2 linked regions of the Schizosaccharomyces pombe genome follow. The gene in region 2 interacts genetically with the main gene of each other region. Each region holds a gene or a part of one and is shown on either strand. Other genes may lie near its edges.

Region 1 (4,464 bases), on a different chromosome or scaffold from region 2:
AGATGAGGTGCAGCATTGACATAGAAAATAGGTGTTGTAAGGAAATAAGGTTTTTTAGAAGATTCTGAAACTTGATGAATTAGCCTACAAATCCCTTTGCGCAGCATCTTGCTTCAGAAGACGTGTATGTATGTTTAGCGATCAACGTTAGTAATAATTTGTATATTTTAGGACTGCTGTCAGTAAACGTTAGTAATCGAAAACGAATATAATTCTTTAATTCATTGAGAATACAGCAGGGAAACCAGCAAGTGGAGAATACAGTGACACAGACGGTGCCTTGACGTACGTTAGTGGTGTATGTATATCGAAAACTAAGCTTGGTTTTGGATAATTGCTTTCTTCATGATTAATATGATTAATTTAATATCTTAGTAAAAATTCCTAATCAGTAGTTTAAGTCGTTTATTGGTTAAAAATAGAATGGTAGAATAAGACAAGTGATACACTAGGAGCTGATATTTAGTATACGCATAGACCCAAATTAATTCAAATGCTAGTATTTTTTGACTGTATAATAGTTTCTTCAAAAAGAGCTCTAGCAGCACTTCACAAAGGCCTAAAAACAGTAAAAAGATTGAAACTAGTGTATACAAAAATTAGGTGAGAAAATAAGATTGCATTCAGGAATTGATCGAGTCGAATTTTGTATTACCTTCAAGTATTTATCTTCCAGCAATGCGAAATCAAACTCATGTCAATGATTAAATAGAATAAAGAATCAATGCTGAATTTCTTTGAAATTGTTTTACGATATACGGTATAAAGAAGGATAAGTGTTTAAGATTCGAAATAGTGCTTTTTTAAAGAGATAATGATGTATTCCTTAAAATGATGCTGCACGGGATATTTCTTTGTTTAGCAATAAAGTAATTTGTGCCATTTACTGTTTCAATTTTTTCCAATATTTTTTTTTTTTTAAATTTGTTGTAATAATTTTTTAATTAAATTTTTTTTAAACAAGATATTCTAGCATATGCTGGCTAATTTTATTTTATTTACATATTTTTTAAATATTTAATAAAGTTTAACTATTGCTTCAATTTTTTCAAATACCTATTGAAAATGATTTTGAGCTGAATCACTGAGTGAATAAATCGATCCTTACAATAGCAGGCAATTGACAAGTTATAAGAAATTTAGTTGGAATCATTACATAGTTGCATTTTTAGAGTAACTGAATTTGAGTCATACACACATAAACTGAGTTCTTAAATGACTACGATAACCTCAGAATTACACACACGGTCATAGGGTAGGACATAGCTGGAATCTAAAAAATAAAAAAAAAAATACTGTATGTAATGCACAATATTATAGAATTTGTAGGAACTATAGAAAACAGATAATCCATAGATGCTTTGAGTAGGGATAAATCAACAAATAAAAGCATTTAAAACCAATTCGTATTTTCTTGATGCTTTGTTTACATACTTACTATGTACTGAGTATCTTATATCTACGCATCAGATAATCTACAGTAGTGCAAAGAGAATGCGTTATAAAATCTGAAGTTTCAAAGTTCATACTTGGTATATTTTGGGATGTCTACACTATAAAAGAGAATCTAAACCTCGATTAAAAAGATGGTCGTTCATAAGAAAATAAATGGGTCGGTAAAAGTTTCAATTTGTAATCATTGATTGCAAGCCCTGCTCATTTCCTAGGAAAACCATGACATAGTGATTTGCAAATATAAGTTTGCAAAATAGTATAATGAAACGCAGCGTAGTTGTAATCACAAAGACGCGGTTTTTGTGACATTTTGAACACACTACTCTAGTACGAACCATACTGACAAAGAAGTGTGCGGTTTGGTTTCACAATCCTTTATCTACTCATCTGTAATTCCTAACTCAGGCGCTTATTAAATTATTTAAAATCTGTGGAAATAATTGCGCCTTAAATGCATTAAAGCTCATTTGCACTTATAATATACTGTATAAATTAAATTGAATTCGACGTGAAATAAGCAGAAAAAAGGAGGAAAAATGACTAAACTCTGGGTAAATTTTTTCAGCCAGAAATTATTAAGGCTTTTAATCCCATCAATAATAGTGGTATTTGCTTTCGCTGCTCTATTTGCAATATACAGTCCCATTCAACTTGGAGGCATCAATTTCTATAAAAGAACCAACTTATTTACCGTTGAAGAATTGGGCGAAAAAGAATTGGAACTATCTAAGACCGTTACTATCGATATATACAGAAAAGCAATGTGCATGGATGATTTGGAGCAATCGCGCAAATGTACAACGTTCGGTTTGGATCCACCGATTTCTGCTCACTTATTTTACACATATAACCGTGATACGGGTATGAATAGAGTTGCGAGACAATGGAATCGAAGAATTCCAAGGGTATTTCATACCATTAAGGGATCTAATTTCATTGAATTGTCTCAATTCACGGCATTTGAAGTCGAACTTCGCGTAAGCCACCCAAATTGGGCTTTTGTTAGTTGGTCACATGATGATTTAAACGAATTAGTTGACAAATCATATCATAATCTTCATAATGCCTGGTCTCAGTTATCGCGTGAAGCTAAAGATCAGTGGGGATTTTTATTGGGATTGTATGAGTATGGCGGTGTTTGGATGTCTCGTTCTTTACAGCTTAAAAAAAATATTGATAAATTTGTTTATGCGGCGGAGTTATCCGTAAAACAATTTACAGAAAATATCACATCTTCGACTGTTGAGGAGTTCCAACCGATTTTTATGGCCCCAAAGTCCCTACAGTATGACTTTATGATTGCTACTCCTAAGCATCCGTTTGTTCTCTCTCTCATTAACGAACTTTGCAAGTCGGAAGTTTTATTAAAAATCCTTTCTAAAAGGCCCTATCATGGTCTTGATGCAGCTGAAGCGTTGTTTGCAGAAAACCGAGAGTCTATTACAATTCGTGAGCAAGAATTCTTTGTCAACACTTATATCGATGACGGGAAAGTTTTTGTGAAGAATAACCCTCACATCATTTTTATCCCAACAGAAGCCTTTGCTTCAACTTGGGACTTCCTTCCTAGTGAAGAATCTTCTGAAATGTGTTTCGCCGACTCTCCCCTGTTTGACCCTGACTATTGCATTAGCCACAGTTCAAAACCGGATGGGAACGAACTTGCCATATACTGGTCTAATTCATTCGACTTGATAACTGCTTGATGATATTATGATGTTTCATCTTTTTATCTTTTCACAAATTTAATTTCATTCAGCAAACAATAAACCTGACTTGATCCTTTAACTTTTTTTTTCTCTCTAAGGTATCACCTACAGTTATGTGCGTTTCTTCCTAATCATAGTTTTTATTTAATACTATTGCTAAGCATCCGTTTTATAATCAAATATTTTCTGTCGTGGAACTGTCCTGCAGCTTGTTTTTCTAATGTGCCAACTATGTCTTTACATTTAATGTTCTATGGTTCTATTGTCTTTCTTTCTTTTTTTTAGTTTTTTATTTTATCAGATCTAGGAAAAGCTTGTTTCTTAGTTTTTTAAATTCGATCCTTCATTTATTGTTCAACTGTAAAGTTTGTGATACTTTTATAGCTACTAACAGGTAATCAATCTTGTTCTCTCCTCTCTAGATTTCATTTTATTACAAATTAATGTTATTTAGGCAACAGCTTTTTCCTAATCGATTATTAAGCTTTAGAAAATACTATTTTTGAATTGAACCCCTTGCCAATAATAAACCAACTATTGAGCTCGGTTCTTATTCTAATTGTATTTGTAATAGTGAACTAAGTATGCTAAAGGATTCCTTGTTTTTTAAGTCTTCCAGAAATCCAGAAAGAAGCTCAATCAAAACAGCAAATATTATTGGTAAGGAACAATTTCCTGATCATAATAATGGTAAATGAATTTGTCTCTTCAATTTTATTTTATGTCAGCAATACTACACTACGCTATAATACACTACGTTGAGTATCACTATATGTCACATGTTCTAATTATATATCGTACCATGTATGATACGATATGGAGATTGATCTTAATGATAATCTATTAAGATCAATATTATCTGAATACTATAAATAGAGCTACTGCTGAACCTCGTTCCTCAGTTCAGTTATGAGCTATATTAGTGATAGGTAACATTATAACCCAGTTAATACAATACCTATACTCAGTTGCTACTTATACAACCTGTGTATCGTAATATAATAGATCACAAGGAAAACTCACCGCAGTTCTACGTATCCTTAAATCAGATACCAAACTGCGTAGCTTACAATAACTGAACTCTTGTGATCTACAATTAACTCCTTTTAGGAAAAAGGAATTATTGAATAAATATATATCATAAATATATATATTTCTCTCCTTCTGGGTTCAAAGGAGAAGGAACTTTGGAAGGACTGTTATCCCTTTTGAAATCTCCCAAAGGGAAACATATACAATGTCCTACGCAAATTATCGTTATATGAAAGCAAGAGCAAAACGATGGAGACCAGAGAATTTG
Region 2 (3,948 bases):
GCAACGTTGAAAACAAGGAAGAGACTAAGGATAGGAACTTAGATCGTGCTTTATCTAAGTTTACCCAATCCAGAGAGAAAAATGAGCAGAATCTTTCAAGTAAAGCGTCAGTTTTAAGAAACAAAAAGTCAATCTTGTTAAAGAAAAGAAATCAAGATGAAACTCAACTGACTACTGAGGAGGATTTTTCTGCCAATAATGATTCTACCGCAAAAATAGAGACCAGTATCCACGACCACAGAGATATTTCTAGAATAACACCTTTTGAACTTCCTTTTGTTAATCCAAAGCTGTTTGCTAGCTTTACTCCAATGTCGGTAGCTCTACCAGCTGGACGATTACTACTAATTAAACAGTTGCAAGAGAAATCTACCCAATCATCTTCTATGACAGGTCTCAAATAAAACCAGCTTATTGCCAAAAGTAGATAATACATTCATCTACTCATATTTTTGTCTCATACTAGCATAAAAAGTATAAATTAATTATGATTTTCAATCTTACTTTTACCATTGTATTTTAGTCACATTTGTCTGTAAGGAAAAATAGCGTTGGTGTAAAGCGAGGTAACATATTTAAATGTTACGTCGTTAATTTTTTTACGTAGGCGATGGAAGGCGTGTAAATCATTTGAGCATTGAGGAATCCGCAGTAAGTACAGGAAACTTCCACTGCATATTATTTACTCAACTTAGCTACCTGGGGAATACACATTGTTTGTTTTAAAATTTATCGATTTCAGAATTACATTGAATTAATTTTTTTTTTTTTCAATCAGGTCCGTTTCTGCTTCTGGGATTGTATATTCTATCTTCATAAAACCAACGAGGAATTCGTGTGAACTATTTATAGTGCTGCGTGTAAGCTAAAAAAGATATTATAATACTTTATAATGGCATTTCGTAAAGAAGAACTCAGTCAAACACTCTATGAGAATGAATCTGAGCAATCATCCGAAACCAAGGAACTAATGTTAAATAATGAAGAGAGTTTAAGCGATTGGCGAAATTACTTTGATGAAAAGTTAACAATTCCTGGTGAAAGTGGGGCTTTGAATGGGACTATCAATGGGTACTTAACACTTCCACAACCAGATGGTTGCTTACTTGTTTTGCAACACGGTGCTGGCTCAAGTGCCATGTCATTTGCACCGGTTACACAAGAGCTCTTGAGTAATTCAGATAATAAGGTTGGTTTTTTAGCGTTGGACCTTCGAGCTCATGGAGAAACAACGTTAGAACCCGAATCAGATATGAGCTTGGAAACATTATCTAAGGACTTTACTCACGCAGTCTCCTATGTTCAACGTATGTTTGAGCTTGATGAAAAAATCATTTTGGTCGGACATAGCTTAGGAGGTGCCATTTGTGCTTACTGTGCTTTTCAAAAAACTATTCCCAATACTTCTGGACTTGTTGTCATTGATGTGGTTGAAGGGACTGCGATGGAAGCATTGGGTTTTATGAAAACGTACCTCTCTAATCGTCCTACTAGCTTTAAATCAATTGATGATGCAATTTCTTGGCATATCAAGACTTTAGTTACTAGAAACAGATTATCGGCCTGTATTACAGTTCCTTCACTTCTCGTTCAGCAGGAAGATGGCACATTCGTTTGGCGAACCGATCTTTACAAAACATCGCCGTATTGGATGGACTGGTTTAAGGGTTTAAGTGACAAATTCCTAAGAGCACCATATGGAAGGATGCTTATTGTCGCTGGTACCGATCGTCTAGATAAAACGTTAACAATTGGACAAATGCAAGGAAAATATCAACTTGAGATTCTTCCTGAAACTGGTCATTTTGTTCATGAAGATGTTCCCGCTAAGATTTCCTCTCTACTTTTAAATTTTTGGCATCGCAATCAACCTTTGGTTTTACCTCCCAAAGTTGGTGCTACTCCTGTTCTACAGTAATCTTAATGATTTAACGAACTTTATTATACACTAAGAAAAATGCGTTATATAGTGGAGTATGTATGGTCATATAACGTTGTGCTGTGCAGGTTGCGTAGGCATCGATATCAAAGGCACCGCTTTCATAGTACCTATAAGTACGTTGCATTCGCATATATGATTGTATCTTTATTTATCATTACCCTTGATTAAAAAATAATTTATTTTATTGAAACTTCTCTTTTAAACACTCGAATTTTTGTGCCTTCATGTCTGTGATAACTCAGGCTCAGGAAATACCTACTGTAGCAGCCAATCCCGATTTCAATTATGAAGGAGATCCTATTATTATTCAATTATGCGATCGTGACACAGTATTTGAATTGAGTAGAGATCAGCTTTTAGGCCTCCCGGAATCCATCTTGATGTGTTTATTTCCTAGAGGCCTGTTGTTGGATTATGAGATTCAAGAATGCCAACTGACTCAAAGGCCATTAATATTTCAAACAGCTGACTTTGATCCTTCATTACTTCAGTACATATTAAATTATTTTCAAATGGCCGAAAATCGTACCGCTAATGATGAAATTGCATTATCACCACCTCCACCTTCTTTTCCTGGAAAATGTGGTATAATTCTGTTAAAAGAAGACATTGAGTTTTTTATCCTCCCACCCATTTCACCAACCACCAATATTGCCATTGAAGTTAGTCCGAACGATTTGCTTAAACTAAAACAACGTGTAGCCCAACGATTGCTGCAACAAAAGAAGATCTTTGATTGTTTACATCTCGAAAACTCCACCTCAGAAGGTTCCGCTGAAAAGAACCTTGTACGCATGCTTTGCTACAGCGGATTTCACGAAGATGACGAATGGAAACGGCGAATACAAGAACCACATCGCGCTTGTATTACTTCAGTCACTTTGACCAACCTAGATTTTAGTGCAGATCAGGGCCCTGTCTCTGATCCTGAATATTTTCCTGTTTATCACAAGTTGCTCCTCTTTTGGCAGAAACCAGCTCGGAAGTGTTGGTGGGATTCTTCTACCAGTATCACCTACAATGGGATCGAGTTTGCAACTTGGGTAAGAAGAGTTTGGACGTTGGAACTTGCTGTATTAGGCGCTAATACGTACGAGACTGCAGCGGTTTAAGTACAGGGTATGTTTCAAAGTTTAAAAGCATTTTTTCTCTTTTGTGTTTTTGTTGTTTTTGTTGTTTTTGTTATTCCTCTTTATTTTTAAATGAGCAAGAATTATTTTTGCGCAGCAATTACCTACTTAATCCTTGATTTGTAATTGCTTAAATTAGATTTGTACTCCTCCTACGAGTTTTATTATTTCTTGATCCTCTCTGAAATTTTTTTTATTATTTTATTGAACAACGTTCAGTATTACTTGTCACTATTTCCCTTAATACACAAAATTATTATATTAATTTACAAAATGTTTTAGTTGTCAGCAGCATACATGGGTGAAGTAGAAGACTAGATAAAAAGAAGAAAGGGAATTAGTTCAGTTTGAGTTCCGTAACCCTGGATGATTAGTAACATGATAGAATTGCTGCACACTTACCTTAAAATAGTATACGTTTGTTTATGTTTCATTACACGATCATGACGATGACGACGCTTGTGTTTTACTCGAACACTTAATGCGCTTTTAGGGAATGATAATACAACCGCTTCAATCGTAAACAATGAAGGGTCTACATACGGGTTACCAAAGAGAGTAAAATCTCTTGAGCCGAAGGAAGCGATTTTATCAAGTCGTATCGTATCACCAACCTGGACACCTTTCAAGTGAAAAGGCAATCCTAGTTGATCTCCTTTGGCTATAACAAAATGACGATTAAATATATACGCATCAGCATAGTGGTCAGGTTGTTGTTTTATTGAATCTATAACCTTTTGATTTACCACGCCAGAATGGGCCTTTTCGCGAATCAAATTAAGAGCTGAACCGGCCTTGAAAAATTCTATCTGGTCTTTACTCATTGTGTGTTTGCAAGGAATCTCTACAACTGAACCGTCTTTCTTAGTGACGACA

The links. Genes that interact genetically often act in the same process or in processes that back each other up.
Region 1: mutations in SPOM_SPBP4H10.16C (region 2) and pvg2 together harm fitness less than expected from each alone (positive genetic interaction), as found in Schizosaccharomyces pombe (one large-scale study listed by BioGRID).

Annotation. Positions count from the first base shown.
Region 1 is NC_003424.3:4,018,091-4,022,554, forward strand, and holds pvg2 (Golgi 4,6-pyruvylated galactose (PvGal) residue biosynthesis protein Pvg2), read left to right. Parts: upstream 1-1,784; 5' UTR 1,785-1,991; coding exon 1,992-3,161; 3' UTR 3,162-3,964; downstream 3,965-4,464. Other genes in the region: msm1 (methionine--tRNA (Met) ligase), read right to left, coding at 1-107; Tf2-6 (retrotransposable element/transposon Tf2-type), read left to right, coding at 4,402-4,464. UniProt on the Schizosaccharomyces pombe protein: Involved in cell wall biogenesis. Has a role in the addition of Gal-beta1,3 moeities to galactomannans and their subsequent pyruvylation. Has a role in meiosis.
Region 2 is NC_003423.3:2,905,343-2,909,290, reverse strand, and holds SPOM_SPBP4H10.16C (phosphatase activator), read left to right. Parts: upstream 1-2,051; 5' UTR 2,052-2,166; coding exon 2,167-3,054; 3' UTR 3,055-3,329; downstream 3,330-3,948. Other genes in the region: SPOM_SPBP4H10.18C (uncharacterized protein), read left to right, coding at 1-404; SPOM_SPBP4H10.17C (carboxyl methyl esterase), read left to right, coding at 893-1,918; aco2 (aconitase/ribosomal domain-containing protein), read right to left, coding at 3,410-3,434, 3,475-3,948.